4 linked regions of the Arabidopsis thaliana genome follow. The protein of the gene in region 1 interacts with the protein of each later gene in a pairwise test. Each region holds a gene or a part of one and is shown in the gene's direction. Other genes may lie near its edges.

Region 1 (8,153 bases):
TAGGGCTCCGTTTTTTTTTGTTTTGTCTTTGGTACTGAAGGTACCAGCGACTCGTATTTCGTCATAAGTTATATCAGCTTAGGGAAGAAAGAGACATGAAGCCTGAAACTTTCGCTAGTCTTGTATCGGCTATTCTTTATGAGAAAAGGTTGGTGAAATGTCTTCTTCTCTCAATTTGTTATTAGTTTCTAGTTTCCTCTTAACAATCTGATTTCTTATGATTAATGTGGCATTGCCACTACTAAGTACCAAATTCTTTATTTCAGATTTGGCCCATTCTTGTGCCAACCTGTGATTGCTGGATTGGGAGATGATAACAAACCCTTCATTTGCACTATGGATTCTATTGGAGCCAAGTATGCTCGCTTTCTTCATTACTTAAGACGTTATATCTCATTTTTCGTCTGTAATGCCATTTAATTTACTTAGTCAGTGACTGTAATCGTGAAACTTGCTAGGTCAGCTAGAAAATGATCGTGGATTGATATTTTGGTTTTAGTTGGAATCTAATTTTGGTCTTTTGTCATCCAATGCAGTGTATGCATGTCATATGAGTGAACTTATTTTACATGTGTTGAGCTGATTTAAATATGATTCTTAATATAGTTGAGATTTTACCGAACATGATAGTTGCAATGGTGAGCATGCCTTGACGCTTGTTCTCTCTAAATGCAGGGAGTTAGCTAAAGATTTTGTTGTCTCGGGAACTGCTTCAGAATCTCTATATGGTGCCTGTGAAGCCATGTTCAAACCAGATATGGTATGTGCCTTCTGAAAACTTGTTTTTGTACCGATTCACTGGATACTCAAATGTGTGTTTATCACCTGAAAATTTGGTAGGATCATTCATATGTAAGTATTCTATTGTAGAATCTTGATCTGGTAGGAATATTTGTGTGCATAGTGCTGGTGATATATGACGTAACTCCAATAATTTTCTCTGTATATTTTAATTTGGCTTAGGATTAAGATGTTTCAATATTGCGATTACTTCCCTGCCATAGTACTGCTTCGATAAAGTTTGAATTTCAAGGTCATCATTCTAAGAAGTGCATTGTAAACAGACTCGTGATGAAATGAAAAGCATATAACTAGACTTAACAAATTTGAGTTTCAGGAAGCTGAGGAACTATTCGAGACAATTTCACAAGCACTTCTCTCTTCAGTTGACCGCGATTGTCTTAGTGGGTGGGGAGGACATGTCTACGTTGTGTAAGTTTTGTTCTCCTCATCTTCTTCTTCTTCTTCTTCTTCTTTTTTTCTGTCACATCTGGCTTCTTACAGAATATACCTCATGTGCACTTATCTTCTAAGGATATGTATTATATAAGATAGTAACATTCTTTCATGGTCATGTTGTCCAGAACACCAAAGGAGGTGAAGGAGAGAATCCTGAAGGGAAGGATGGATTGATCTGATATCACATATCTGCTTTTGTCCAAGTTCGGTATACTCCTTAACCCGGTTATGTAGAAGCTCTCGTCCCATAGTAACTATGTTCCTTCTCTGAAACTGGATATTGTGGTTCGTTCTCTCGGATGTTTTATTTGCTATTGATAGAGTTCAATGAAAATGAAGAAATAGCAGTTGTTATCTTGTTCCAGTACTCGATCATTCTATGTACCTTGTTGTTTCTGTTTTAATTTCGTACCAAGTGTTCCAGATTTCTGGTTTGTCGCAGTCTTTAGTTTTCAAGGTTGGTACTGATCAGTGACACGTTTTGTTGTTTGTCTTCTTAGTGTTCATGTTCGATTCACTATGGGTGACTTTAGAAAGACGTTAACATGTCAACGAAATATTTTGGTCAACTATCAATAAACATGGTTTGGCTAACGAAATCATACAATAACTATGAAATCAATGTAATTTGGAAGGTGATCACTAGTAACTGCAAATAGAAACGAATCAAACTATTATGATGATGATCCTGATGCTGCCATCTGACATTGTGAATGATTTTGCATGTCCTGTTCTGTTTGTGGCGTTAGATCGAGCCAGAGAGGCAAAATCCATACGCATAAGCGTTTTGATGATTTCATATAAAACGTGGCATGTGCAATAGATGTGGTCGTTACACGAATATAAACCCAATCCTGCCGACCTAACTAATCTCGGTGGGTATTCATATACTACCTGTGTGGGCAAAGCATATAAAGGTTCTACTTGGGCAATCATTATCGATGCTCGTAAATTCATGCGTCTAATCATTTTGATTATGAACCATCCACATCATGTCACGTGTCTAAACTCTTCGGTCACTTTTGAGCTTTTTATCAAATTCAACCCGCCACAATAAAAAGCGGCAGAACTAACATTCCGGCTCCACGTGGCATAGATCGAAGCGTTTATCTATTAGGTGGCACAGGCGGCTCGAGATGACGTTCTTGTGGACTCCATTAGAGAAAATGACAGAATTAAGTGGGCATTAGCATAAGTTGATAACTATGAGGTGCTTTTTAAAAAGAAAACTAACAGCTGCGATTCTGTTTTTTTTTGCCGTTAGTGTACGCTAAATCATAGACCTCTTCGTGGTTATAAAGAAAGAAACTTAATTTGTCTCGAATTTGAGTTTGGATGCGACGTTTTACGTACTAGTTTTATAAAAGTAAATGTTATAGACCTTGAATTTCAAAGTGGAATGTATTTTACACACACAATTGATACACCAACAATTGTGGAAGCAAGGATATAGAGTATCGATCTTTAATGGAGAAGAATATATCCTTAAAGTAATCATTACTTTTTAATTACGGCGGAAAGAGAATAGTTAAATTTACGGCGAAAAGAATGTTCATTAATCAATTGATGACGTTCGTTTATAATTTCAAATAAGATCGAAAATAACAGGTGAACAAAGAAAAAATAGACATTAAAAATAGTAAGATCGAAAATACAACCCTTAAAAATCTCACGAAATCAATGAGAGAAACAATTTTGAGATACGGTCAACGTTTGGTCTCCTTTAGGAAAGTACACGCATAAGATCGAACGTGTCGATTCTTATTGCTCGTTCCCAAAATCGACATGCTCTCGGACCGCTACATTCCAAATAGTCTGACGTAAGCAATGACAAAACTCACCTACATTACAGTCTGCCACGTGTCCCTCTCCATCTACTTCAAATGAATCCTCCACTATACAGATTTAACCATTTTTCTATTTTTGTTTGAGATTCCTTTCCACCAACACAAAGCCCCTGTCTATCCGCCATGTGTCCACGACCTTTCTTATATATATAGTCATCTTTCTTCTTTGCTCGAGAGAAGTTTCAACTTTCAAACATATCTTTACAGTTCTTTCTTGCTAAACAACAATAAAGGGGAAAATAGGTTAATTATGATGAAATCTGGGGCTGATTTGCAATTTCCACCAGGATTTAGATTTCATCCTACGGATGAGGAGCTAGTCCTCATGTATCTCTGTCGTAAATGCGCGTCGCAGCCGATCCCTGCTCCGATTATCACCGAACTCGATTTGTACCGATATGATCCTTGGGACCTTCCCGGTACGTTTCTTTCTTTTCCCCTTTAAATCACACTATACACTAACAGTAACAGGATTCTATAAAATCGGTCTAAGAATTAATAAACCGGTTTACAATTTACAGACATGGCTTTGTACGGTGAAAAGGAGTGGTATTTTTTCTCACCAAGAGATCGAAAGTATCCAAACGGTTCAAGACCCAACCGTGCAGCTGGTACTGGATATTGGAAAGCTACCGGAGCTGATAAACCAATAGGTCGTCCTAAACCGGTTGGTATTAAGAAGGCTCTAGTGTTTTACTCGGGAAAACCTCCAAATGGAGAGAAAACCAATTGGATTATGCACGAATACCGGCTCGCTGACGTTGACCGGTCGGTTCGTAAGAAAAACAGTCTAAGAGTGAGTGAATTTATCAGTTCAAACCGAACTTTGAATATGATTTTGAATCGGTTTAGTTAACCGGACGTGTTTTTGATATTCTTGAACAGTTGGACGATTGGGTATTGTGTCGTATATATAACAAGAAAGGTGTCATCGAGAAGCGACGAAGCGATATCGAGGACGGGTTAAAGCCTGTGACTGACACGTGTCCACCGGAATCTGTGGCGAGATTGATCTCCGGCTCGGAGCAAGCGGTGTCACCGGAATTCACGTGTAGCAACGGTCGGTTGAGTAATGCCCTTGATTTTCCGTTTAATTACGTAGATGCCATCGCCGATAACGAGATTGTGTCACGGCTATTGGGCGGGAATCAGATGTGGTCGACGACGCTTGATCCACTTGTGGTTAGGCAGGGAACTTTCTGAGTTGTCACGTGCGATTAGAGTTAGTGGAAAGTGGAAACTATCACTGTCTGTTTTCGCACGTGTCGGGTAGCCGTCTTGAAACCCGCTAGCTGATCCAGAAGTGACCTCATTGGGCTTTTCAACAACAATTGGGCCTTAGCCTTTCTTCTCCCTTAGTAAGACAAGCTACTGTATTGTGTTGTTATTTTCAGGAAGCAATATAAATTCATTTTAATCACTTATATATTCTTTACATTTTTTTTTCACTCAAAACTACAATCTAGCTTCTTCTTTTTTTTTTTTTTTTTTTGTTATGGTTGTACTACAATCTAGCTTTGTTATATATATATATAAGTTAAAAATAGTAACTAAATTACAAACTAAAATAAAATAAAGAAATTGGAAGATATCACTAGTGTTTGGGGTATTAGGGAGGGAGGGGAGCTCGAGATCCGATTTTACTGACTGCATGGTATCGAAAAAGTGTCGGTAATGGTAGGGTCTGACAGATAACAGTCTTATCGTTGCAACTTGCATTCAAACAAATCTCATTGTTCGCTTTAATTTCTAATTAATTTGTTTTTGTCTTTTGTATATTTATTTGATTTTGACACGAGTTTGTCTTTCCTAATAAGACCGAGGCATGATTAGTTTAACCGGTTTGAATTGTTTAGGTTAAATCGGAGTCCAAGTCAAATACATCGCTATCTAACGAAAACGACGACTGAAATTTCGTAAAGTTCCTTACTATAAAACTGATCTAACTATCTTCTACAAGAACAATATAATAAATTTGATGCATTATGAATTCACAAGTTTTAAATCTTTATGATTTTGTAGCTCATGAAATTGAATGATGTTTCTTTTATTATCACATGTCATTAAATAAAAATAGTTATGAGTAGATGACATAAATACTATTTCAAATAAATTTATCCTCCATCTAATTGTTATGAGATGATTATTTCCTATAACATGGTATCTACTATATGGCCGTCTAAATTAAGTATCAACGTTTAAACTGCGCAATGCTCAAGTTTTCATAAGATGTGATTTGTTAGAGGTTAATTAAGAAACTTGCGAGTGTATATGTGGTCTCTAATCTATATTTTAATCTATAAAAAGGGAAGTGAAAATCAAGATTAAAAGCTTGGATGTCATAGTATAAAAGAATAGTAAAGTAAGGGGACCAGACATATTTGTTGCGAACTGGAAAAAAATGAAGACAGTCAATCTCACTGGGGAAGTGTGGGGTTTGAAGTCCATGTTAGGTCTGTTTGTTGTTGCTCTTACAACCTTCACTTTCAATTTACAACCAAATCTTCTTTACACTTTATACTAATTTATTATTCATGTTTCCAATAGCATTAAAACAGTTTTAAAATCTATCCAACTCTTTTTTTCCCCTACTAAATCAGGAAATTCAAATCATATGGACAATATACTCCATCAAACAGTGTAAATCTGTTATCCACAATGCATAATGTTGTGTTTAATTAACTCGCATTCGTCACAACCAAATTAGTGATTTCTCTCTAATTAACCAATGTATGTAGATGTGAATAATACTTATGTAATAGTCCAGTTTTCAACAAACATATCATAGTTTAACGAAATTGGACAGATTCGAGATCACAACTCGGTTAAGATAAAACTGTGAATAGAATATTTTTCTGCCTAGGTTATAACTTAAAACTATAATATTTTTGGGAGCATGTATTATGTGACTTGTGCGAGAATTCTGTGTATATATGGTTGACAAGATGGATGCTATTTTTGTAAATAGCTAGATGGCTACATACATATTCACTCATGTTTTATAACGTAGAGAATAATTAGTCCACCGCTCTATGCCCCATTTGGAATAAGGTTAATTGTTACAACATATATTTTGGTTAAATGGTTCCGAGTTAATAGACCAAATCATATAGTAGTAGTTTGGAAACAAGACATGGTCAAAACGCAAGATAATACATAGACACATAATTTCAGTTTAAAAGTTCTTAAAACTTTAAAGAACAAAACTTAGATGTAGTTTTAAATGTTAATTTACCTGGTTTTGGCATAACACAACCTAGGAGTTAGGAATGTTCCAACTTCCAATACTTTTACATTTATCAAAACATGCGTTAAATAGAGGGAAAAAATGAATCTTGAGGAACGTTTTATTTCTTCCTAATTTGTTGGCTAAAAAATGAATAAGATAAGCTCAACCAAATGGAGACCCAAACAAAGTTGACATTGAAAAAGTCTAAAATTTCAATGTTTATAAAATCTAACAATAATCCTATTCTTTAGATTGGACAACTTTATGCTAAGATAAGAGTAATTCAGAATTCTAACTAAATCACACTCACTCCATTATTATGGCCGCCGTGGAAAATTCAACAACCAAATCTTCAATCATATAAATACTTTTTCAACTGACTTAAAAGTAAAAAAAAAAAAAATCAAATGTGGAGAAATAATAAATCGATATTAGGACACTCAAATGTACTAGTTAACAAGCTTATGATGACAGAAAATTGGATAATTATGGGAAAATAAGATTGGATGATTAAGGGCTGGGAAAAACAAATTGATGATTAAGGAAAGTAAAAAAGTAAAAAAAAAACGAACGAAAACTGAAAAAAAGTAAAAAAAGGGACTGATCTCTTCTCTTTCTCTCGTACGTTCTTCTTCCTCATTCGAGAGAGTTAATTTCACCATTTCTGATTTCGACAACGACAAACGAGCAAAAGGTGATTTTCCTGTGAGCTTCCTCTTCTTTTAAAATCGCAATGCTCCTACTATTTCTATACTATTATTGTTGTTCTCCAATTGATCCAACGAAACTACGAAATCCATTCTTTGTTTTATTTTTTTAGCCCTAGGATTCTGTGATCCAATCTCTGTTTTCTTCTTCGCTGATTCTGGAAGGTTCTTTTGCTTCTTTGAATTTCTAGAAGCGGAACTTTGAAGGTTAAGTGTTACTTTGACCGGACAGATGGATTCTGACTCGGAACTTTATATCCCGGCGCCGTTTGGAGATTTTACGGTGATGCGGATTTTGAGTTAGAAGCGACGCGGAGAGATTTCATAGGTTTCTTCTGCACCACATTCCACGAGGTGTGTAATTTTCTTCTTTATTTTAAATCTGTTGGGTTTTTGAATTCTAACATTGCAATGTTGATTTAATTTACCGTTGTAATTTGAGTATGAAGAAATTCGACATAGTTGTGGTAAGAAAGAATTGAATTTAAAAGATGAAATCTTTGAGTTTTTATAACAAAAAACTGTGAGGTTTCTTTTTTTTTTGGCCATTCAGAGTAGTAGTTTCACTTCGTCCAGTGTAAGTGCAAAGATAGTTTGAATGTTTGGTAAGTTTGAATATTGGTTTCTTCTATTCTAGGAAACCAGAGGCTGAAGCTAAAAGCGATGTTGAAGGCCTTTCTTCCTGGAACGCAGGAGGAGGAAACATTATCTTCTTTGCAGTCTGGGTAGGCACTTTCTATTTATGAATAGTATTTCAACATTATCCTTTCTGTTGTCCTGAGAAATAACAATGGAAGTCGTTGCCTCAAATGTGCAGGAAAGTCGATGCAAAAATGGAAATGGACGACCCAGAGAAGGCAATGGCTACAGTTGCTCAGCTCATAGAGCAACTTCATGCGAAAACATCTTCACCGCAAGATAAAGAACTCACAACAGCTCGTCTACTAGGTATTGCAAAAGGCAAAAGGGAGGCAAGAAGGCTCATCGGTTCGTATGGCCAAGCAATGCCTTTATTTATTTCCATGCTTAGAAATGGGACGACTTTGGCCAAAGTAAATGTCGCTTCAATCCTTTGTGTATTGTGCAAAGACAAAGACTTGCGACTAAAAGTGCTTCTAGGAGGATGCATCC
Region 2 (9,491 bases), on another chromosome or scaffold:
CTTATTTGAATTTTTTCATCTTGCATAGAGCGGGAAACTTGGTTGTACCAAATTTGTCTTCAGAGGTGAGTGACGTGACATCGTCCTCTGGACCGGTTAAGCTGGCAGACCTGCAAAGAATTCTGAACAACCTCTCTGGTGGCCCTGTAGGTACAATTCTCTATCTCTAGGTTCTCCTATCAATAGGATTTTTTGGTTTCCCTCTTATACTTATTTAGGTACGGTTGTAATGTTTAGGTATTGCTGGAGATCAAGACGAAGGTAAATAATTTCAATGTTTTAAATTATTTGTATATGATATGGTGCGAAGACATTATATATTTATCCTAAAGTCTGCATTGGTTGGAAATGGCAGTGCCCAGCTTTTTTCTGTGATCAATAATATGTTCTCAACTGTTAATTGTTCTTTCTCTCTACTATTGTTCATTACTGACCTCATCGTCCACTCTTGTTATATCGTTCAAAGGTTTAGCATTAGGGGATATCTTGAAACCGGAGTTGATAATGCCATTGCTTGAGGCGTTGCCGGTACAAGAACGACTATCTTCGCATTTACCTGAGGTATGTCTTGGTCTTCAATGTTTCTGTATTCTATGAATATGAACATTACATGCAATTCTCTCCATTTTAGTTCTGTCTTCTGAAAATGTCTGTTATGGACCAGAGGTTTTAAGCAAAAACTTCCCTTTAACCTGGCTCTGATACCAAATTGATATGATGCGAAACCTTAGCCTTAGCTCTTGTTAAAGGACCCGTTGCTAAAGCTTAAAGAACAAGAGATTGAAAGCTAAGCTGAGGCTAATCACATTGGTCATGTACCAGACTAACCCAAAGGCTAATCTAATCAATCACAGGGTCATTCTAGGGCAGAAGATATACTGGAGTTGTTGCAGAGCCCTCCTTTTCGTCAACAAGTAGATGCATTTACCTATGTAAGCCCATCTGTGACAATGCTGTTTCCATTCTTGGGTCGATATTCTAACTCAACATCTCTCTCTTTAGGTACTCCGCACAGGACAAATAGATTTGACTCAGTTTGGTATAGACCCAAGTAAATGTGAGTGATTCTTACGATGTTGTTTCCATTCTTGTTGTTTCTTTTTCTCTTATGCAGTTTTAACTTTTGCAGACAAGTTCACAGTGGACTCATTCCTTGAAGCACTTGAAGACTCGGTTTCAACGCAATCAAGGGATGCGATGGATGAGAGTTAATCTTTTCATATTCTCATGATTTTGTTCGAACTTTGATATTGAACTGAGAAAAACATCTTCGTTGTTTGGTGGATCATTTATGGAGTTTTCATGAAAGTGTAAGGATCATCATGGGATTTTCCTTTTCTGCCACAAAGGTTTCTAAGCATTTATATCAATTTTACGATTTAATTAGACTAGGACATGCGGAATCACGATTTCAATAGGAAAAAGAAAACCCTAACCATAGAGAAAAACTTTTCATAATTTTCATATGCTTTGTTTTTTTCTTCATAATTTTCATATCCGTGTAACATAAAGTCAATGTCAATATTCACTTACAAGTTCACAACCATACGAAGGTTATCACTGATCAGTTATCACCAAATTATTTCTCAAATGTTCCACCACAAATATTGCAACGCCTAGGTCATTTTCTAGTAAAGCGTAATCAAAGAAAATGATGTCTTTCTATTTAATAAACATGTTGCGATGCTTGTTAAGTCTCATGATTTTTCCATTTACCAGTACTATCAATGCAAATTTGTTTGCAAACAAACGAACAAGGCTAAACCAAAAAGAAAACAAGGATAGGAAAAAGAGGCAAAAATTAAAGATGGATTTGTAAGATTTCAATAAATACAGATTTCAATAAATATCGTAGTTTTTCTTTTTGTAAAATATCATTTTTTCTTTTAATCTTGTAGAACAAAAATAATTTTGGAATACAATGTATAATCATTTTGACTCTTTATGTGTCTTCTCACCATATTTTTTTGTATGTTTGGGTTGTACTTGGTTTACGCGTTTGCGAATATATTCTATTTGCTTTCTAGTTCTAGTAAAATCGAAATCTGGATGTAGTTCGGGAGGGTAAGAAAAACTGAATTTTGTTAACAAATTTTTTGTCTCATTTATTTTCTACACTTTATCATTGTTTCATCCACATTTACAAAGAAAACTATCTGTTGTATTATAGTTATATGACAAAAATAAATTTTGTTCAAATTATTATTTGATAAATCAAAAATGTTAACATAACAAGTATGTTACTGGGAAAAAATCACGTTTCTCGACTAAATTGAATGGTAGAAATAAAATCATTCAAAATAATAAAATTTACTATCATTCATTGGGATCATAAATAGCTTTGCTGTTTTCATAAATACCATTTCATTGCTATGAAATACAATGTTTTCCACTTTATAAACTTGTTGCGATGCCTATTCTAGTGATTTTCTGATTTTTTTCTCATTTGCAATGTTGTGAGCAAAAAAGCGAACAAGGCTAAACCGAAAAGAAAACAAGGAAAGATTAAAGATGGATTTGTAAAACTTAAGGGAAACTTCCTCTAGTGCACATTCTCTTGTTTAAGACATCACTCAGGTTTACATCATTTTCAAGGTTTCCTCAAATAATTTGGCGACGAGTTTAAATATATAAAAAATGATGTGAAAATTGAAAAATAGGAAATCGCCCCCTAAGTGCGGTGGTGGAAGGAGGGGAGAATGTGGGGTTGCAAGAAGCCATAAATGTGATGATACATCGATTTCATGATAACTCCTTGTAACACATCACATGAGCTATTCAACTTCGCTCGACTCCAAACCAATCTTCAATTAATCTTCAGGTTTTTCATAATAATAAAGTTAAAAATATTTGATTGTTTCCTTCTTAATAAAGAACCAGCCTCAAAAAAAAAAAAAAAAAAAATTAGTTAGTGCACCTGAATAATTTGGGATCTTAATTCTTTTTCACTGGAATAATTGATGAATTAATTTAGTTTTTTATAACTTTAATGAATCTCTCTCTATATGTCTTATAGTTCAAGTTATTGATTTTATGGTAAGACAACAATTAAGAGAATAGATCAATATTTCAATTATATATGTCAACATATGAATGGATTATGTTTTTTTAACACTCTATTTGAATGTTGAAAAGGCGATCAAGGGAAATTAGGTTACTACTGTGATGTATGTCAAGGTTGTAGTAGAAATTAGACAGACAATAGTAACAAGTAAAAACTAGCTACAGTAAAACCTCTATAAATTAATAATGTTAGGACTACGAAATTTTATTAATTTGGAGAGGTATTAATTTATCGATAAATTAATAAATATTAATTTATAGAGAGATTTTCCTAATTTGGTAACTTTTAAAAAAATTCTATAAGATTTTTTTCATTATAGAAAATATTTTCCTAGAACCAGTTACAAGTAAAATATAATAATAATGTCTAGAAAACAATACCAAAAAATTTGATCCAATAAAATATGAAAACTATAGTCAAACAAAGAACAAATATGAATTTAAGCAAAAATATATTATAAATATATTTTAAAGAATTTTTTTACTTATAATATATATATATATATAGTTGATATATTTATACAATTATTAATTTATGATATTGATAGGAACATATATTTACATAGAATTTTCAAAACAATTATTATCTTATTAATTTATCGATTTGTGTCACTTTTTACACTGGTCCCAACTCAGGACCGGAAAATTTTATTAATTTACAGAGGTTATTAATTTATAGAGTATTAATTTATAGAGGTTACACTGTATATGTGTAGTTAGAAGCTTTTTAGTCATCACATGATTTAAATTTATTTCTAAGATGAAATAGACAATCTTTAATTTATATATATAAATATTATTTGGGTTACTCGTATAAAGGTCTACCACTTTTCAGATGTTTAGAACTCTCTCTTCCTTTCTCTATCTAACAAACCCTAATGTCCATCCAATCAGTTATCCAAACTAAAAGAAGTGGACTCTAACAAACCCTAATGTCTAATCAGCTGTCCAAAATAGCATTTGGCTCATCCCTAACTAAACCTGAAATATATCAAAAAGTTAATTACCAATGAAAGCATATAAAAAACATTTGGCCACTTGCTTTCATGCTGGTCCCAGCTTTTGCACCCTTCCGTAGCCACACTACTCTTCTCCTTTTTTTTTCCTCTTTCCCCATTTCTATGAAATAGTTGTCTAGATTTTACGAGTCTGCACATCCTCATATATTTTTTTATTGATTTGGTGATCCAATTTTTAATATGAAAGAATGAAAAAAATATTGGGGTCTTTTTAAAAATGTAAGTCTTAAAAAAAAAAATATTAGAGAGAACCATATATCATATGAAAATGTTGATTTCAGTTTATCAATTAGGATGATAAAACTATTTAGTGTATTATTAAATGGTACCTTCGAAAATTTACATAATTTTTTCTTAATTTGTGTGAATTTTGTTTATAATTAATGATACTCTTAGGAAAAGTGAAAGAGAGTGAGTAGCTTTTTATTTATTTCTGATTTGCATTTATATTCAAGATTTAGAAATGAATAATACAGGTAAAATTTTCATCTATTGCTAACCATAAATGCCAAGTTTTAAACAATCAACCTTTTTATAATTCAGCAGTACTAGTCTACTAAACAATCATACATTCGACAAAAGAAAAAATTCAACCCTAAATTTGATTGAAGTATCCCACGAATAATGTCGAAGAGGAAATGTTCTCATCTACCTTTTTTGTTGCTGTTGTTGTCATCAACGTTCTCATATACCAATCTTTCTTTATACCATCGATATTATAGTATCTCAATTTAGTGTTCTTGGAAGGAAGGCCGACATACAATATTCTCGCGCATACAAATATTCTTCCATTACTACATACAACATCTTGCATATAGCCGACTCCCCCTGGATTGGTTGTATAACATTATGATTCAAAATATTGTTTAGGCAATCATCACTTTTAAAAAGAATTATATATCGAACTTAAATTTTGTAAATTGCTTTAACATAAATATATATATATATATATATATATATTTTTTTTTTTTCTTAGTAATTTTATTTTCACCATAATAGATATAAACGATGTATAGTAAATCATTGACGAAAATATTTTTTCTACAATTTTTTATCTATTCCATAACATTTAGTTTCGTCTCTTTTAAATAAAATATATCGTTTTTTATTGCCGTTAACTAATGTTATAACAAAACTGGTACATTACTACATTTTTAAAAAAATTACTTAACTACTATGTCCATCTCAGTATTTCGATAAGAATTTTTTTTTTTCTTATGGTACGCAACCCCATGAGTGAAGGGACCCTACTCGTTAAAAGACATAGAACATATAGCCTACATGGAAATTCCCAAATCCTTCACATTGCATATAATAATTTTGCCCCTTTAACTCTCATCCTCTCCTTAGGCTTATGTATTATCTTCCCATTTATTCAATTACCTTTATGATCACTTGGAATAGTTGTTGAAGTACAATACCCGTTTTTAAGGCAAGTGTCTGTTCGGGTTGATATATATATATATAGAGAGAGAGAGAGAGACTATATCTTTTCACCTATATAATTGCTCTCTTCTTCTATCTAAATCTTCAACACAAACATCTTGTTTGGTCCTATTTCTCAGATCGATCATGGCTAACTCTGTGATGGCAACCGAACAGCTCTGCTACATCCCTTGCAACTTTTGCAACATAATTCTTGCGGTATAATTGCTATACATATATATCTATTATATCTGCTGTTATATTATATATAATGGATCTATGCTTCTCCAAATATCGTATATATAAAGATATAATCAAGCATAGATCTACCTTTAATTTCCTTTGTACTATATATTGGTTTCTGATAAAGAGTGGTGAAGCTCTTTTCATCAGTTCCACTATCTTACAAATGTTCAAAGTTCTTATTCATTTAAATCTGTTTTAATTTATTTTTGTCAGTGACAAATATTTCATTTAGCTTATGGTGCCAGAGAGAAGTCACCATCCTTCTGCTATACATGACTTTTTTCAGCATCATATAGATTTATTTTCTGCTCTTTTCCTACTTTCCTCAAAGGAAAATCCTATTACGAGCATTTTACTTACCATTTTAAGTTATGACTCATAAGATAACCTATTTTAAAATGGCCATGCATATATTTGTGTTCCTTTTCTTTTTTTTTTTGTCAAAAATATGTGTGTTCCTATTCACTAATCTATAACAAATTGCGCATATTGAAAATGGAGTCACTTCCGGATCTTAAATGGTGGCTACAGCAAAACTTCAAAAGAGAAGATAATCATCTCTCAAGCAACTACTTTTGTTTAATGTCATAAGATTAGATTGCATTATTTCTATTTTGCCTTCTAAACCCATAAAGAACTTAACATGTTACCCAAAAAAAAAAAAAAACCCATAAATGATAGGAATATCTGATCTATATTAACAAGACAAGCAACAACTTTTTCTCCCTTGTCTAATGATAATTATCTTATAACAAATTTTAGTAGCATAAATTTTAGTATAAGCTTTTCGTCGATCTATGTCTTATGGATCATCTAGTAAACAGATCCAATTTTCCAAGAAAGAAGATCAATTAATTAATATTTGAGGTTGTGTTTGGCTAAAACGTGTAGGTGAATGTCCCATGCAGCAGCCTGTTCGACATCGTGACCGTCCGATGCGGTCACTGCACCAATCTGTGGTCTGTAAACATGGCAGCTGCTCTTCAGTCGCTTTCACGCCCTAATTTCCAGGTAACATCTCTCTCCTCAATTGTGAAGGGTTTATTGTAAATTTAAAAAAAAAAAAAAAAAAACTTGAACCAACCCTCTGAAATTTAGGGCTCTTTTGTTTGTTTTGAAAAACGAATGATAGACAGAAATCTGAGCCTCTAGTTGCATGTTTCTGTCTCCAGCCGCCGTCTACATCTACATAGCCCCAAAGAATTTAATATTACTTAAATATTTTACTCTTTTCAAGTCATGTTTAAGTTTATTTTTCCAGCTGTTACTGATATCTGCAGCCTTTTCGTAATTGCTTTTTCTTCATAGAGCCCTAGCTTTTGTTTGATCTATTACTGCTGTCGGTTACTTACTCTATGATTTGATTGACATGAATGTTAGGGTTTCTGGTTTCATAGGTTTGTTTTGTTTTCTATAAAATATATATATCAGATTCCTTTCTTTAAAGGTTTTGTCTTTTAGACTTTAACTACTCTTAAATATGAATGAAATATCTTTTAGTTGGTCCACTTTCTTTTTTCTCTTTTCATTTCCGAAACTAGACAATACATACATGATTGCTACTCAATCCTATTGATTCACCATTTTTGGTCTGAAAAATCAAAGAAAAGGCCAAGTGATTAAATACTCTAAACTTCTTAGCATTTATACTTTTATCAGGCAACAAACTATGCAGTACCAGAGTATGGATCCTCCTCAAGAAGCCACACAAAAATCCCTTCAAGAATTTCAACTCGTACCATAACTGAGCAACGGATTGTAAACCGTCGTAAGTATTGCTTACTATATAAACCTAAAGAAGTAAACATGAAAAGTAATTTGTGTACTGTATATGCTAAAATTATTATATTGTCTTTCAGCTCCGGAGAAGCGGCAGCGAGTACCTTCTGCGTACAATCAATTCATAAAGTAACAAAAACATTTTAGACATACATATATCTATATATCTATATAATGTTCAAATCTGTTAAGAAAGAGGTTATTGATTTGTGTGTTTATATTAAAACCTTTGAAGAGAGGAAATTCAGAGGATTAAGGCGAATAATCCAGACATAAGCCACAGAGAAGCATTCAGCACTGCTGCCAAGAATGTAAGTTTTTATTTCTTTTATATGTTCAAACAGTTTTATAAAGTACTATAAGCTTTTTTTAGCCAAAAGAAATATCTTAAGTTTTAGTAACCAATAAAGAATTATTGCGGCCTCCTTATTTAATTATAGTACATATGTCATAGTAGATGTTTTTTTTATTATTATTATTTTTTATTTTTTTATAGTTTTTTACAAATTCGACTTGGAGACCTTATGATTTGGAAGATACTCCATTTAATTTTATGAGTTGTGTTTGAAAACATATTTTAAGACTAAACACGTAGAGAACATTCTTAACAAATTTGTAAATAAATAAATTTAACTCTATTCTCTAGGATTTAAATATTATAGGTATATATATAATTTTCTAATAAGTTTATATCGAGTCACTCATACGAGTTGTGTAGAAAGTTAATCACGGGTACCAATTTTAAATTAAAAATAAGAATAATTATATGATCTTAAATTTATACAACTCTGATAAAAGATTGGGCTTTGACATCTTTGAAGAAAACTAGATTTAGTAATATTCTGATTAAATTGGGTTCACACTTTGTAGTGGGCACACTTTCCTCATATTCACTTTGGTCTAATGCTGGAGAGTAACAAGCAAGCTAAGATAGCCTAATAATGTAAGTGCTCTGTTCTATTCATCAATTGTTTTAGAGATTCACCTTAGTTATAAATTTTATTTTTATTGTAAACTAACATAAATTTTACTTTTATCTGTCTTGTTTTAGTCTCGAGATTAATGGTAATATAAGTGTTGGAGACTTCGAAGTAACAAGAGCTGAGAAGGCAACTATATGTATTGTATGATCTTTGGAACCGTATGTATGTAAGTGAAGATGTCTATCTTTAAAACCATCTATAGTTATAATTTAGTAAAAGCTTCTTTTAATTTATTTCTATGGCCCTTGTTGTATGGTTCGTCTCACAAGATTTATGAGTTCTTTCGGATATATGAATCTAAAATAAAAAATATGTAATCTATATTATGGTAAACCTATCTTATACTTGAATTATAAATAGTAAATATTACAATAAGTATTTTTTTTCTTTAACGATGTAGCAAATTCTCTATGAGTTAGTGGTTTTGTATCTTGTAACACGGAAACATTATTTTAGCTTTCGGGATACGGTTGTGGTTCTAATTCTTATACTGAATCATACACACGAGATCTAATTACGATGTAGCAAATTCCCTATGAGTTAGTGGTTTTGTATCTTGTAACACGGAAATATTATTTTAGCTTTCGGGATACGGTTGTGGTTCTAATTCTTATTCTGAATCATATACACGAGATCTAATTATATTTGACTCCAAAATACTGACCAAGCTTCTTTTTGATTTTCAAAGCTTTGATGGTGTATAAGAAGTCCTTATAAATTTTTTCTTTCGGATCTTCTAACAGGGAAACAATACTTTAGTACTTTAGATTTGAGATTCGGTTTTAGTTCTAATTCTTATACTTACTTATACACATGAGTTCACTCTCGAATAAATGACTCTCATTTATCCTAATTTGTTAGTTATAACAATTTTCATTGATTGATTTAATTGATAAATAATATTTTTGGTGTTTTTCCTATTTATCATTTTGATGCATTTATCTAACTCTTGAGTAAATGATTCATTCTAATTTTA
Region 3 (7,355 bases), on another chromosome or scaffold:
ATATTCAAGTTCAAGTAAGTCACTTGGCAGTTGGCACGGTCCAGAGATACGATAATATGAAAATAATGTTCTTGTATAAAACTAAAGGTAATTGGTTGGTATAAACATTGCAATTGACGAGGCTCATGTACACAGTACACAATTAATCGATACTCAAATAATATTGTTTATTATTCAGTATTTAGGAGTTTATTTACGTTTTCCTGAAACAAGAAAGATAAATGAGTTATAATTAGCTTTTGTTGGTGTAATTTAGATTTAATTAATTACTGTTTTATAAGAACTTTGATCCGTATAATTTGGTTTTCAAAACTTTCCTCCTCGCATATAAAAGATAACATTGCTTCCTTACATTTTAGAACTATCTTGAAGTTAATCTTGAAGTGCGAATATAATATTAGATGGCCCTCAGAACAACTGTCTTCATCGGAAGATCAACTCAATATTAATTATAAGAATCGAATCATATTTTATTAATTGAACTGATAAGATTTGTGAAACTTATCTTATGAACATACCAAATATTCAAATTGCGTAGGTAGGTACTAGGTATTGTGGCAACCTATATGAGACGTGCCACGTGTTCCAGACGGCATATTAAAAGAGGGTGAACATTTTTGTTACTATATTTTATACAAGTAACTACCAAGCCTTGCCCACCAATCAATGAATCACTTTTTTTCTTTTTCTTCCCAAACATAGTAATTATATTATATATTTGAAATGGCTAATCAGTCCAAAAAATCAAGACGTACAAAGAAAAAATTAAACTTCTAAGTCTAACACTATATGATCCAAACAATTTACTAATTAAATTATTATAAACATGAAAACTGAAAAATAGTTTTTTTTGCTAAACTAGACTGAAAAAATAGTTGTAAACGGAAAAAAGAAAACATTGGATACCCAAAAACAAATCTAGTGATGTTGAAAACACATACCATTTCCAATAAGAAGTCATCTTGATCAGTCCATGCTGTTTATCTCAAAGCAGAAGCAATGCAACTATTGATCGTGAATGCAAATATATATGGTCCACGACTCATATTTGAATGAAATGTTAATTCCACATATTAAACCGTACGAAATGATATTATTATTTTATTTTTTAAAGATATTAAAATCTTTTTGAACTACAATTCCAAATGTTGATTCCAAAACTCCACTGAAAAAAACAATTAAGATCATTCTAGCTAACCATATTAAACCTAATGATATTTAATTTTGTTTTTCCGAGTTTTGTAGTTCACAAACTAACAAGATTTCAAAAACTTCAAGAAAAATTGGAAAACCAAAGTGTGGACGGAGTTACCAACTCTAAAACCTGATATTTATAAGAAAACATGCTAACATAATCATAATTATAATGACTTATACCAAATTAGATTTGAATATTTGACTACTGATGTCTTAGTCGAAAAAAAGATTGTGGTTCTAGAGTGAAAACACTTCCAGCGATAAATGTGCTGTACTTAAAACATATAAAAAAGTGATGAGTACTTTATGCTTAGTATAACTGGTTTTGGTTAATTTCATTTGATTAAATAAACAAATAAAGTTAACTACTAATAGTTTATGTGATGATTATTATAAACATATTCTTAGCAAAAAAAAAAAAAAAGATTATTATAAACATAAGCTAATGAATTGTCTTAACGTGTCCTTTTGCGTGTTCTCATGCAAAGTTCACAACACGGACCACTCGTAATACTTTCTAGATTCCCTCGCACCTTCGAACACTACTATCCCAAATCTAAGATTAAATAGTTTTTTACAAGATTTGTTTGGTTAGAACTCTAGTCTAAGTTTAAGATTTGGGAATTTTGTTTATTAACTCACTCTCAGATTTGAACCTAAGTTATGAAACGACAACAAATATTACGAACCAAAACTATAAATTCTGACTGGTTTATATTCACTCATTTTATCATTCATAAACCAAGGGATTAAATGAACCTTTTTTATGACATATAGAAATTAATTTTTTTTAATGATTTTTTATTTTTCATTCTACATAAAATTTATTTAATACAATTCCGTTATTCTATAATACAGTCAATCGTATTATCTAAATATTACTTAACATCCAAATTATTTTAGACTAAACTGTTGGTGCATATGATTTTGGTTTGAACTCCTTTTTTTCGTTTTTTTCACTGAAAGATAGATTATAGATAGAGTTTTACAAAGCTAAAGCTGGCGATTAACAAGATAATCCTAGAAACTAAGCCGACGGATAACAAAAAATCTTTGGAGACTAAGATTTTGGTTTGAACTCTTATGAGATGTTTATTATTCTACCCAAAAAAATAGACTTCAAACAGATTGAATAATGTCTTTTTGAGAATGTTTTTAGCTCATCAGAAATTTAAAATGGTTTGGACAGTAATATGTATCTGACGCATATAGAAGATTGAAACTAATTACCATCTCTTGAGAAAACAAAGTTACACAATCAAACTCTTTGTTTGGCATAGGTCCACTGGCCTAAATTTTTTCTTTGTTCCCATTTGCAAAAATTAGATTCGAACTCGTAAAACATATATATCAAGTCGCTAATAGCCATTAAACTCATTTACTGGTCAAACTATAACTGTTATTTGTCAAATCCGTTATTGTTTGAATATGTCTATCCTCAAAAGAAGATCTCGAAGCAGAAGCTCAAGTAAAATTTATATATGTATTATGAATGTATCCAAGTTTTGTCCATAAGAATTCCTCTAATATTAATAGCTAAATTAAGGAAACACCTATAAACCAGATATAGATGATTATACTTGTTATAATCATTTACTATAGATAGGTACAATAGGAGTATATTTGATTAATCAATATTCCTTCTTGATATTTCAATAACGATTACCTAACTCCATTGGCACTAATCTTTATTTTTGTCACCAAATCTTTAAGTTCATTTACGCATGAGATCATCTTGTCCCCTTTCAGATCTAATTTGTCACAATCACTTTAAATTTAATTAAGATGCCATTCGCTTTAAATTTAGACTTGGTCAATGATTATAATTATAATCGATCGACTCATCACCTTTTGAGTCGTGTGACTCGTGCGTATAAAAACCATTTTTGTTGTCAGATATTTTAACTTGATTTTGCCATCTCTTCACTATTGTTACATCAGTAAATCGCTTCGTAAGTGGAGATTAATTTGCAAATTTTGGAACTAATTACTGACCAGTGATCCACTCTATATATGGTTGTATTAGTACTTGATTGGCAAATAACAAAAAAAAAACTTAAATAAAAAAACTGTGTTATTCTTAAATTTATAGTATATGGATTAGTTTTAAGAGTGTGGTTGGGAAATATACGAAAGTCCAAGAATCTTATTAGTTCGTTCACAATTGTATAGGGATGTTGTCACTAATTTTAACCAAATTATACCTTTTTATCTTTTTGCCTAACATTTTTTTGACGTTGCCCCAAAACGAAGCAATGAGTTGAGGGTTAGTGGTAAAAATAATCAAAAAGATTATATGCATAGATTTATGTGAAGTTAACCAAAAAAAAAACTCGACCCAAAATACATAATCTTCAACAAGAACTATGTTTTCTTCTTGCAACAAGAACTATCACTCCTGTCATAGCATAGACCAAACTTTTTTTTCTCCTACACTAATATATAAAGTTACAGTTCTTTTTACTGAACGGTAAAATTAATGGTTAGAGTTGGGAGAATAACTTAGGCAAAAAAACAAAAAGAGAGAATAACTTTCCATGTGCAACCCAAACCCTTTACTACTGTCTTCTAGACCCAACACAACCACAAGCGTGCAGGCAAAGACACGTGTCCATGTCACAACTAGTATAGACTCCAACACGTGTCCAGATCACAGACGTTATAAAACCCTTACCATTTCTGTTCAGTGTATTCCTCAGCTCAAGTAAAGCTTTTACCTAATTCTCAAACATTCTTTACACAAAAATATCAAGAGTGATATAGATAGCGAGAAAAAATGGACGGTAGGGGAGGGTGTTGCATAGCTAGGTACGCCATTGGCTCTGGACCGTACGATCTTTCCAAAGCAGATCGCATCATGCTTCGATTTCGTCCCATTGCTCCTAAACCGGCCAGCCCCGGCGGAGTAAATCCCGTATCCAGCGGAGATAGCGGCGGCGGAAGCTCCGACGTTTCCTTTAGATCAGCTAGTAGAAGAAAGAGGAAATGTCATCAGCTGAAGGAGAATGGTGGTAACGCCAAGAGGTGCACCCGGCGGAAGACGTCGGATAAACCCGTCGTTCACGGCAGTGCTAATGCGGTGACTCTTTCTCTATTACCGGAGAAACCTATAGATCTTAAGGCGGCGGTGGAGAAGCAGAAGCGGCAGGGTCCGTTATGGTTGAGTTTCAAAGACGGCGGAGGGATGCTCACACCGGCTTATCAGACACCGGAGATTGTGCAGAGGACGGTGGTGATTTCGTCGTGTATGACGGTGGAGCGTGTAACGGACGCTTGGATTGACGGTTACGGTTTAGGGAGGTCAGATGAAGAAAGGAAGATGAATCTTGTGAGAGACACGTGTCCTGGTTTCATATCCGACGGTTCAGGGAGAGTCACGTGGACTAATGACGCGTATCGGAAGATGGCTAGGGATATTATTCCCGTGGAAGAAGGTGCACCGGAGATAACTAGCGGCGATAGTTTTCACGTGATCGTACGGTTGGTGATGAGGGAGAGGCCGATGCTAACGTCCCCTGGATTCACATGCAGAATGAAACTCCAGTACACGTGTCAAAATCGTGAGAGAGGCTCAGTCACGGTGCCTTGCGACGTGTGGAGAATGGACGTCGGTGGTGGTTTTGCTTGGAGGCTCGACGTTAAGGCCGCTTTGTGCCTTTGACACCGTTAGATCAACTTTAGTCACTATGGGCACGAACATTACACATGATATGTCCTCCAATGATAAAATATGGATTCAGAACTAATTAGATTTCTAATGGTTTAACATATATTTATGTCGTTTTTGTTCTTATGCCTTCTTTGTTTTTGGTTGTTTTTTAAATAGTTTTTTATTTAAGAATTTTTGTAAAAAATGCATCTTTCTTTTGTTTGTTCTTGACGCATTTGTGATGCTAAATTTCAAGCTTGTTGCTTAAAAATAATTAATGAAGGAAAATTTTGTAAGTATTTAATGCGTATCGTCGGTGCGGTTCCCACCTATATTGGACGCATGTTGTGAGATTTCACGGCAAGGACGGTTGGAAATTACGGTCCGAGTGATCGTCCAAACATGCAAATTCCAAAATGGTCCAAAAAATGTGAAACATACCATCTTGATTGCTACAAAAAAGTGTGAGCGAACCGGTCTTACTTTGAGCTAGTTACTCACTTGAAGAGATATTTCAGTCGAACTCATCACATTTTGATTTTGATATTTTCTTTTCTTTTGTCGGCACTCACGTTTTGAGGAAACAAGGAATATAAGAAAGTAAACGACCCAATAAACGTGATACGTCGGAGCAAAAGAAAACAAAAAAGGAGGGTGAGGAATAAATGTTGTACTACAGCTTTGAATGTACTACAGTCTACCTGCGGTAAAAGTGCGATATCTAATGATACGTGGGACATCTATATATCATCTATGCCATAATAGAAATGCCACATGGACCAATGTTTAACTATGTGTAGCTGTGTTTTTGGAACTTAAACATCAGTTCCATTTTTTGACAAAAAAAGAAGAAGACGTCAGATTCAAAACATTCAAATCAACGGTGTGTACCAAATTCCAAATCGTTAAGTTAATGAGAAACTGATTTTACCATCTCCGGATAAGAAATAGCGCTACAAGACTAAAATCAAAGACATTGTATGATACTATAATCGAGTTTTTAAGGGTCAAATGAATAGTGTTTAGCCGGGGACTTTTCTTTTATAAATTGTTTTTTAGAATCTTTTTGAATTTATTTTTCGTTATATATAATCAAATTAATCAAAACATAAATAAATTAAGAGTTTTAAATAGCAATACAAGTCTACCTACATTGGACATAAATTGTATAATAATTTAGTTAAGAATTTTAAGGAGACTTTTCTTTTGTAAATTGTTTGTTAGAATCTTTTAGTATTACTTAATCTTCCGTTACTATTGTTAATGACCTAACTGATCAGAAGCGGAGTACTGAGACGTTGCAAACACCATCCTTAAACCGTAAACAATATGTATGAAGATTGTTTTTGGTTGTATAAAATAAAACAAGTCAACGGACGATTTAAACAGAATAATAAAATTGGGCCGAAGCTTATTAGCCTTTTAAGGCCCACAAAGAAGAGCGAAAACCCTTAACGAGCATATACAACTCGGAGCACCTCTTTTCTCTCGCTCTCTTCCTCTTCAAGGTTTATATTTATAACTTCTTTTGCTGCTCTCAACGAACTCTTCCAGGCTAATAAACCGTCTCTGTTTTCATCTTCTCCGTAGCTGAGATAGCTCCATACCCTCTCCGACCCAAGTAAACTGATTTTCCATGTTATGGAGATTTGGTTCTCTAACTTATTGCTTTAGAGTTTTGATGTCATTGTACAAGTTTAATGCTATTATTTTTGTGAATTAGGTACAACCTTGCAGAGTAGCTTTGGTAAGAGTTTGCCTTAAGAGTTTTGTCATCAAAGAGCACACATGGTGTGAAGTTTTTGGTATACACGGAGAGATGACAAGGGTTTTTGATATTCCAGGTACGAACGAGAAAGCCTTTTGATAGAAGTTGATGTTTTGGAGCCCAAACAGAAGAAACAAGAGAAACATTTAGGCGTATTTTGCGGTGTCAAGACTACCTTCTCTGACGACGATTGATAGAAAAAACAAAAAACGTCACGTTCCTAACGTTCAACGGTGTACTACAAGATCCCAAACGTCTGGCTAAGTTAATAAGAAACTGATTTTACTATCTCCGGGATAAGAAGAAATGAAAAAAAAAAACTATCAAATAGATCAAACCTAACAGACAAAAATTCAAATAAATCAACCTCGACAATTTCTTATTTTTACTTTCCTTTTAAACATCAGTCTGTCAAGACTTGAGTACCGTTAACAAGAGGTTGCTGTTCCGAGTAACCGATACTGCTCTCATCACTCAGAATGCTATAGTCAAAATCGTCAAAATCATCGTCATCCTCTTCTTCTTCCTCTGACTCTGTTTCTTCTTCTTGACTCGCCAAGGTAGACCCTTCTTTTCTTTTCTCTATTGTCTGCTTAATCGCATCATCGTAAGACATGTCATACCACACATTGCCTTTCCCAACAATGGATTTGTTGTGTGCATCCTTCATTCTCTCTTGCTTGCTAATCTCTGAGTTCTTTGGCTCTCCCCAGTAGTCATACTGATATAATGCACTTGTTG
Region 4 (7,922 bases), about 21 Mb from region 1:
ATTGCACAAAAGTAAAGGAAAGCAACAAGTGTTTAGCAACAATGGCAAAAGTCTTTTTATGCCAAAAGCTCAACATATCAAGGAAATGCATTAGCAAATGACATGTATTTAGATGGATACACAACTATATATTTTTTTCTCAAATTTTCGAATTTAGAAAATATATTTAATAATACGAAAATAACAATTTGTATATTTTAAGCACGTTTACGGAAGGAGTCCTATACTATGGAGTATGATTTATCGTTTCTGTTTATTGGTGTTTTTTTTGTAATACAACGTAAAAAGTCCATTAATGAGAACAAAATACATCCTTGAGAAGCTTTTTTTCTTACCATCTTGTACAAAAACATACGACATAATCACATAAGCTTTGTATAATAAATAGTCTGCAATGGCCATATGTCATGCAAAAATTAACGGAGACAATTCACCTAAAATCCACATGCAATTCCTCTTTCCCTCGTAGAACAACGTGCAACTGATCGAAAAACAACGACACCCTCCTTTCGATATCACCAAAGGAAAAATAAATTAGCAAATCTATTTTTCTCTACTTTCACTTCACCCAATACACGCATTTTCACATGCATTTGTATTTTACCAACTTGTTCTACTACTACTATATTTCTCATCTTATGCATTAATATAAATTAAAATTAGGTGAGTATATTTCTCATTTTACGTATTAGTGTTAATTAAATTAGGTGAGAAAATACAATTGTAAACTAGTAAGATCATTCAAAGTCAAGAGGTCAAAAAGACACGTGGAGTTTAATAAGCCTTTTAAGGTGAGCTAGTCAGATAAACAGTACAAAATGGACCTTTGAGGGTGAACACGTGGCAGATTCGCAACGGTTGTTTGACTTCGACAGATAAAACGGACGCGTTTGACGGAAACCGCGTTATGAGCATTAAATTGCAAAAGTTCATACCAAAAGCAAAAATCCAATCAGATCCACCTTCTTTTCTTTTCTTTTCTTTTCGACCAAATTAGTCACAAATCGGATCTACCTTTTTTCTTTACGATTTACAAATATTTCTCAAAAATCCTAAAAATGACATGTATGTACTATTATATTACTTGATTTAGATGCAGTGAATCTAGCTATCAAACAACTACTTTTATAGACAAGTTAAGGAACAACAATGCAAAAATGTCAGTCATTTCATTTGCCCCCAATAAAAAAAAAATGTCAGAGAACTTGAGAGTACACTAATAAAGTATTATTGTTTAAATAAACTAGATGAACACCCATGCTACGCATCGATTTTTGTTTTTAAAATTGTCGGAAAAATATGATTATGGTTTTTTGTTGATTTTGATGTTCATTTTGATTGTTTGACAAAAAAAAAAGATGTTCATTTTGATAAATTCATCCATTTAATATAATTATTATTTTTTATGATTAGATTCATCTATAACTCAAAATATCAATTCAACTACAATATGAATATTTATATATTTATTATTCTAATATTTCACTATCATGATCACATACTATAACAGTAAATGATATACTGATATAAGTAGTTATATTACTTATGTATTTTAAAACTTGTCTAACTTAATTGTAACAAACAATTCTTTATTCCATATATTATCTCGTTATCTAGTACACAATCACATCCTGATATGCTAGTAATTTAAGTCAACATTTTAATTCTTATCCCTACCATATAATCATATAAAGTCACATGTTGTTGTTTTTTTGGTATGTCTAATGTCTAGGATGACTATTACGTGAAAAAATTATATATCAATGTTACAAAATTATCTTAACACACAAAATGTACCGAAAGAAGTTCATATGATAAATCAAATTCACAAAATATAATAATAATAAAATATTTAACTAAAATTACTAAATTAATATGAGGTTAGGTAGCAAACATCTAAACTACAACACAAGTAAATTTTTAGCCATTATAGATTAATGATTATTGATTAAATGTTTTTAATAAAATAAGTAGAATAAAATGAAAGTAGTGCTTGGTACATTATTATGACTTTTTATTTATCGAATGTTTTTTAGAAAATTCATTTAAGAGTGAGATTAACACAACAAAAGACTTTTAATTTTTTCTCAATTAGTTTTGCTAGTTTTTTTATTTAATTAATATAGAATGACACATGTCATTTTTTTGTGTGATGATGTATCATTTATATGGAGAGTGTAGGCCAATTTTCATATATATATGATTTTGAATAAAAAGAAAAATTCAAAAGGAGAAAAATAGGCAGCAAAAAGCTGTCAGTTATTACATACAGCTAAGACTTGAGTAATGATTTTGTAGTTGACTATTTCATTTCCCCTGTGGACACGCTCGGCTTACGGTTATGAAATCATGCGTTGGAGTTTTTCTTGCTTTTCCCTTTTCTCATGCGTAGAGTTTTTTTTCTTTCTTTACAATTTGTTTAACCATAGTTTTATAGGTTTGTAGCTATATGAGTGGTTAATTTATGGTCTAGCTAATTGGTCTTTTTCTTATTCAGTTTTTGCATTAAATGTAGATATCAATACTGAAAGTTGACTTTTATCAAAAATACATAACAAAGTATAAGAAAAATAACGCTTAGACAAGTTATTACACATATGCAATGTTCACCAAAGCAAGCAAGTACGAAATATACATGCATATGATAATACATGTAAACGAGATAAATCAGCATCGTAAAGATGAACTGGTAACACGGACACGAGCCATCCACATGGGTGGTACCTCCTTATGCGCGTCTTCCCTCAAAATATTGATCATTATAAAATGATGACACCATAGTCTAACCTTGCAAATTGACGCCGTATTGATTGTAGTGACATTTGTACACGATTACACGAAGCAATAAATTAAGTGATGCAACTCTATAAGATATCGTAAGATGATGAAATGTTTAATAAACTAATTAAATGGATGATATAATACGGAATTGACATTTGAGGAGTTCTCAGCCATTCATTCTAACCCTCTAGACCCTTCTTTTTTAATCTTGTATGATTTATTATCTAAATAAAAGTCTAAACCACTCATTAACATGATATCATCATTACATTGCGAGCCAAAATTATTGCTTAACAATCATGAAGTCTACGTGTGTCACATTCGGAACCTCCGAATAATTATTTTTATACTTTTTCGGTTTGATATACTTCAATATATACTATTAATTTGGATAATCTCATTCTTAATATTCTCTCAGTTCCATTTTATTGAAAATTTTCAGAAGTTTTGTTTTCGCATATATACAAAAGAATTCTAAATCTACTAGCTGGACTAGTGGACCAATTGTTGGACGCCTCTACCAAATAAATCGTAAAAATATGTTGATTTCAATTTTATCAATTTGGCTGGAATCGAAGTGCTCGTGTACATTAGTTTCAACCGCTTAGAAAGACGTCTAGCTAAATGAGTAGACAACCATTTTTTTAACTAATCTTTTAAAATTTATGGAGTTGTGTACGTCCACTCACTTCTATTTGAATAGAAAAAAGATTAATATGGTTATGGAAGAAACGTCCCATAAAGCCGGTGTGAATGTAATATAATGAAATGATTCTCCATCAAACTATGATTGTAAAATTAAAACGCTTCGATTATAGAATAAACTTGTAGAAACATTTTAACTTGTAAAAATTAACCATTCTAAAACAAAACTTGTTAAAACTCAACTTACAAACAATGTTTGATTGAAATTGAATATATATTATTTGGAGTACGTAAACATGGATGATCTTATCTGAAATAGTACATAAAATAACAAAAGAAAAAATTAATTAAACATATAAATTTGAGAAATATGAGGAGGATGGAAAAAAGAAGTCACGCCACGCCTCCTATATAAACAAGAGCCAAGCTAATGAGATAAGTGTATCGGTGAGGCTGAGAGTTATTCACTTACAAAAAAAAAAAAAAACTTGAGTGTAACCAAAAAAAAAAGTTGATATACTTTCTGGTTTTCTCCTTAACTTTTATTCTTTACAAATCCATCCCCCTTAGATCTGTTTATTTCCCGCTACTTTGATTCATTTCTGTTAGTAATCTGTCTTTCGTATAGAAGAAAACTGATTTCTTGGTTTGTATTTTCTTAAAGAGATCAATCTTTTTTTATTTTTGATCTTCTTGTGTTTTTTTTTCTTTGTAGAATTAATCGTTTGTGAGGGTATTTTTTTAATTCCCTCCTCTCAGAAATCTACACAGAGGTTTTTTATTTTATAAACCTCTTTTTCGATTTTCTTGAAAACAAAAAATCCTGTTCTTTACTTTTTTTACAAGAACAAGGGAAAAAAATTTCTTTTTATTAGAAATGACAACTTCTATGGATTTTTACAGTAACAAAACGTTTCAACAATCTGATCCATTCGGTGGTGAATTAATGGAAGCGCTTTTACCTTTTATCAAAAGCCCTTCCAACGATTCATCCGCGTTTGCGTTCTCTCTACCCGCTCCAATTTCATACGGGTCGGATCTCCACTCATTTTCTCACCATCTTAGTCCTAAACCGGTCTCAATGAAACAAACCGGTACTTCCGCGGCTAAACCGACGAAGCTATACAGAGGAGTGAGACAACGTCACTGGGGAAAATGGGTGGCTGAGATTCGTTTACCGAGGAATCGAACTCGACTTTGGCTCGGAACATTCGACACGGCGGAGGAAGCTGCTTTAGCTTATGACAAGGCGGCGTATAAGCTCCGAGGAGATTTTGCGCGGCTTAATTTCCCTGATCTCCGTCATAACGACGAGTATCAACCTCTTCAATCATCAGTCGACGCTAAGCTTGAAGCTATTTGTCAAAACTTAGCTGAGACGACGCAGAAACAGGTGAGATCAACGAAGAAGTCTTCTTCTCGGAAACGTTCATCAACCGTCGCAGTGAAACTACCGGAGGAGGACTACTCTAGCGCCGGATCTTCGCCGCTGTTAACGGAGAGTTATGGATCTGGTGGATCTTCTTCGCCGTTGTCGGAGCTGACGTTTGGTGATACGGAGGAGGAGATTCAGCCGCCGTGGAACGAGAACGCGTTGGAGAAGTATCCGTCGTACGAGATCGATTGGGATTCGATTCTTCAGTGTTCGAGTCTTGTAAATTAGATGTTGCCATAGGGGTATTTTAGGGACTTTAGAGCTCTCTGCGATGGAGTTTTTGGTCATTGCAGAGATTTTATTATTATTAAGGGGGTTTGTTATGTTAATATCAAATAAGTTTATCTACTTTGATGTTAATTAGTGTTAATCTCTGCGTCGGTCCAAGCTGTTTTTTTTTGGCATGCTTCGACCGTGTGAGATTTCTTATGTAATTTTTGTAGTTCCTTGATTTTCTTAGTTCAAGTTAAATTGGCACAAAAGAACAACGATCAAAGTAGAAGAAACTAAATTCCTTAACTATAAAAACTTGATTGGTATGAAACTGCAAAAACTCCTTCTAAATCTACAAAACATGTAACTCACTTCTCGTAATAACTAAATTCTGGAAGTGTTGCTTAGACTGTAAATGAGGAAGCATCCTGAATCAACTTTAGTGTATTTCAATCCATGGCTTTAAGCTAATCTAAGAAACCACTTTCTCTGATTATCAACAAACGTAGACACTTAAAAAAACAAGGCTTTAGTTTAATAACATAAAGCAAGATCGGTATCTTCAGATTTAGACTACACTTTAAACAAATGAGCTCAAATTAAATAGGAAAAATTAACATTCGTTTCAATCGGTGATAACAACATTTTACACTTTGTATGTTGCCTATGAAGAGATAGTGAATAGTGAAAGGCAAAGTTCAGATCCTGGAATATCTTACAGTACTACAAAATTCTTTAAATCATCGCATTGTCACAAATTCAAACCTAATGTCTAACTGTAAAACCCGTAGAGATGATTCTCCAGTAGCTGATCAAGAAAGTGTGGAGAATATCAAACAACTCAGTTGAATTTACCAATCTCCATTTTCTTCTTAATTGCTCGTTGTCCATGGTATATGAACGAATCTACTATTCCCGATACCGTGAAGATACCTGCAAATCAAAGGTATAATTTTAGTTTTGAATTTGATGATAAACATATCAGTAGGGTATGTTTAAATTGAATGGAGAAGGGATATATATATTGATTACCTCCTACTATAGCGCAAACATTTGTTAGGAAGTGCAAGAACTCCACATGTTGCTCCTCAAATATCACCTAGCCAACAATCAAAAGTTAAAATGTTTCTAGAGATATAGTCTCCGTTGGTATTAAGAACACGACTTGGAAAAAGAAAAAGAAAAAACGAACAGACCTTAATTGGCGATAGATCATAGTAGAAGAAAACACCAGGCGGAGATTGCATGCGACCTGCTTCCATGTTCTGGAAATGTTCTGTCACAGAGAACTGTTAAAAACAAAAACTCATAGGTTAGATTTTACAAGAAGAAAATGACAAAGATTTTTATATAGAGATTTGGGGATGTGGGATTTACCTGGTTTGACTGTATTGTATTCTGGTGAACATCGGTGTATATGCTTGGTACCACCTGAAATTCAACACCACAATCCATTCTTTATCCCTACGCTCAACAATCTTTCTAGCATGCAAAAGCTACCGATAAAGAAATTCTTATTGCATTGGTCAACAAGCATAATGTATTAATGTCTTTGTACTTCTCTATCAGTAACCTGAGCTAATAATGAGCCTTTTAGGAATCTCAAAATTTTGTACCTAAACTATTGTCCCAGGTGAGAGCATTGTCTATAGATATAATGTACAAATGAAGCAAACCTTGATGAAGTATTGATAGACGCCACTCTGTTTCCCCTGATTCCACTGCACACTGAGAGAACCAAGAGAATGTTTCAGAAGATAGGATTATTGAAAAAGCGATAACAGGTGCGAGTAATGGCTATATAATTGAGTTTTTACCCATCAAGAGGGTTCACTACACCGGGGAAAAAGTCTCCAAAGGCCAACCTGTTGACCTTGTGGCTAATCTGTGTAATGATATAATAGAGTCAAGACCCATTTGAAATATGAGCTTATAAAGAGAGAATGAAACAAAAATAAAACTTTTCTTACATTGTAGTTGCCTTGCTGGAACAATAACATATCATGAAATTGAAAACCGGATTGATGAAAGCTTTGCCCAGGAATGAAATGAAAGTTCCCAGCAACTTTGTTAACTTCCAAGAAACCGTGAACATTACAACCTTCACCTTCTTCATCTTTTACCTTTTGCACAAAGCCTTCTCTTTTACACTGAAATGAAATGATGAGTAAGAATATCATACAACTAGATGTGGGGATAGCTGAAACGAAAGACCAGATACCCATGGTTTCTTTAGATATATCCATTTTAGTGCCAAACAAGGTGTCACTATTTGTTTCAAACTAAGTACCAAGATCAACCCAATTTTGTTGTTAGTGAAGGAACGTCAGTATACCTGGTCGATTGATTCAGGGTCCGAGAGGGCCCAACCTTTCTTTCGGTAAGCTTCGCGAACTTCCTCACATGAATTACAACAAGCATCATCTGACTGTAACATGTAAGCAATGACAACCACAACATGTAACAAGGATAAAAAACATTTCACCACCATAGAAGAAACTAAAATGTAAATTAACTGAATCAACACTAAAGAACTCAGTTGAATATTCTCTACTGCAACTTAAAGTCCAATATCGCTTGTCAGAGCATATTCTTAGAATAATTTAGGGAAGCTTACCGCTTCTGCTCCAAAACAGGAACCACAGTATGTTTCATTGTGTTCCAACCTTCCACCATGTTTTTGTAAAGGTTTTTCAATCTATGGATAAACAATAACATTAGGTAATTAGAGACATAACGAAGCAAACAAGACAGAACTTCAACACTTTCAATCTCTTAAAACTTCTTGCAATGAGATCAGAGATGACACATGAAAATGAAAAATTTCAAAACCATAGAAAAACCAACC

The links.
Region 2: the proteins of NAC032 (region 1) and YAB5 interact in a two-hybrid assay, tested with the Arabidopsis thaliana proteins (one large-scale study listed by BioGRID).
Region 3: the proteins of NAC032 (region 1) and AT3G48510 interact in a two-hybrid assay, tested with the Arabidopsis thaliana proteins (one large-scale study listed by BioGRID).
Region 4: the proteins of NAC032 (region 1) and AT1G22190 interact in a two-hybrid assay, tested with the Arabidopsis thaliana proteins (one large-scale study listed by BioGRID).

The regions. Positions count from the first base shown.
Region 1 is NC_003070.9:29,096,693-29,104,845, forward strand, and holds NAC032 (NAC domain containing protein 32), read left to right. Parts: upstream 1-3,146; 5' UTR 3,147-3,336; coding exon 3,337-3,505; intron 3,506-3,607; coding exon 3,608-3,882; intron 3,883-3,971; coding exon 3,972-4,289; 3' UTR 4,290-5,067; downstream 5,068-8,153. Other genes in the region: PBC2 (20S proteasome beta subunit C2), read left to right, coding at 41-148, 267-356, 676-760, 1,118-1,212, 1,365-1,413; AT1G77460 (CELLULOSE SYNTHASE INTERACTIVE 3), read left to right, coding at 7,686-7,747, 7,840-8,153. UniProt on the Arabidopsis thaliana protein: Transcriptional activator that positively regulates age-dependent senescence, dark-induced leaf senescence and stress-induced senescence.
Region 2 is NC_003071.7:11,302,903-11,312,393, reverse strand, and holds YAB5 (plant-specific transcription factor YABBY family protein), read left to right. Parts: upstream 1-5,383; 5' UTR 5,384-5,654; coding exon 5,655-5,726; intron 5,727-6,644; coding exon 6,645-6,764; intron 6,765-7,412; coding exon 7,413-7,521; intron 7,522-7,612; coding exon 7,613-7,661; intron 7,662-7,767; coding exon 7,768-7,843; intron 7,844-8,402; coding exon 8,403-8,471; 3' UTR 8,472-8,475; intron 8,476-8,583; 3' UTR 8,584-8,939; downstream 8,940-9,491. Other genes in the region: RPN13 (regulatory particle non-ATPase 13), read left to right, coding at 29-150, 238-261, 467-561, 855-932, 1,003-1,057, 1,130-1,212. UniProt on the Arabidopsis thaliana protein: Promotes adaxial cell identity. Regulates the initiation of embryonic shoot apical meristem (SAM) development.
Region 3 is NC_003074.8:17,965,071-17,972,425, reverse strand, and holds AT3G48510 (AtIII18x5-like protein), read left to right. Parts: upstream 1-3,835; 5' UTR 3,836-3,973; coding exon 3,974-4,858; 3' UTR 4,859-5,072; downstream 5,073-7,355. Other genes in the region: PDE312 (Nucleic acid-binding, OB-fold-like protein), read right to left, coding at 7,018-7,355.
Region 4 is NC_003070.9:7,831,942-7,839,863, forward strand, and holds AT1G22190 (Integrase-type DNA-binding superfamily protein), read left to right. Parts: upstream 1-3,839; 5' UTR 3,840-4,303; coding exon 4,304-5,089; 3' UTR 5,090-5,470; downstream 5,471-7,922. Other genes in the region: AT1G22200 (Endoplasmic reticulum vesicle transporter protein), read right to left, coding at 5,916-6,007, 6,107-6,173, 6,271-6,363, 6,452-6,505, 6,751-6,802, 6,892-6,959, 7,045-7,224, 7,410-7,502 and 2 more.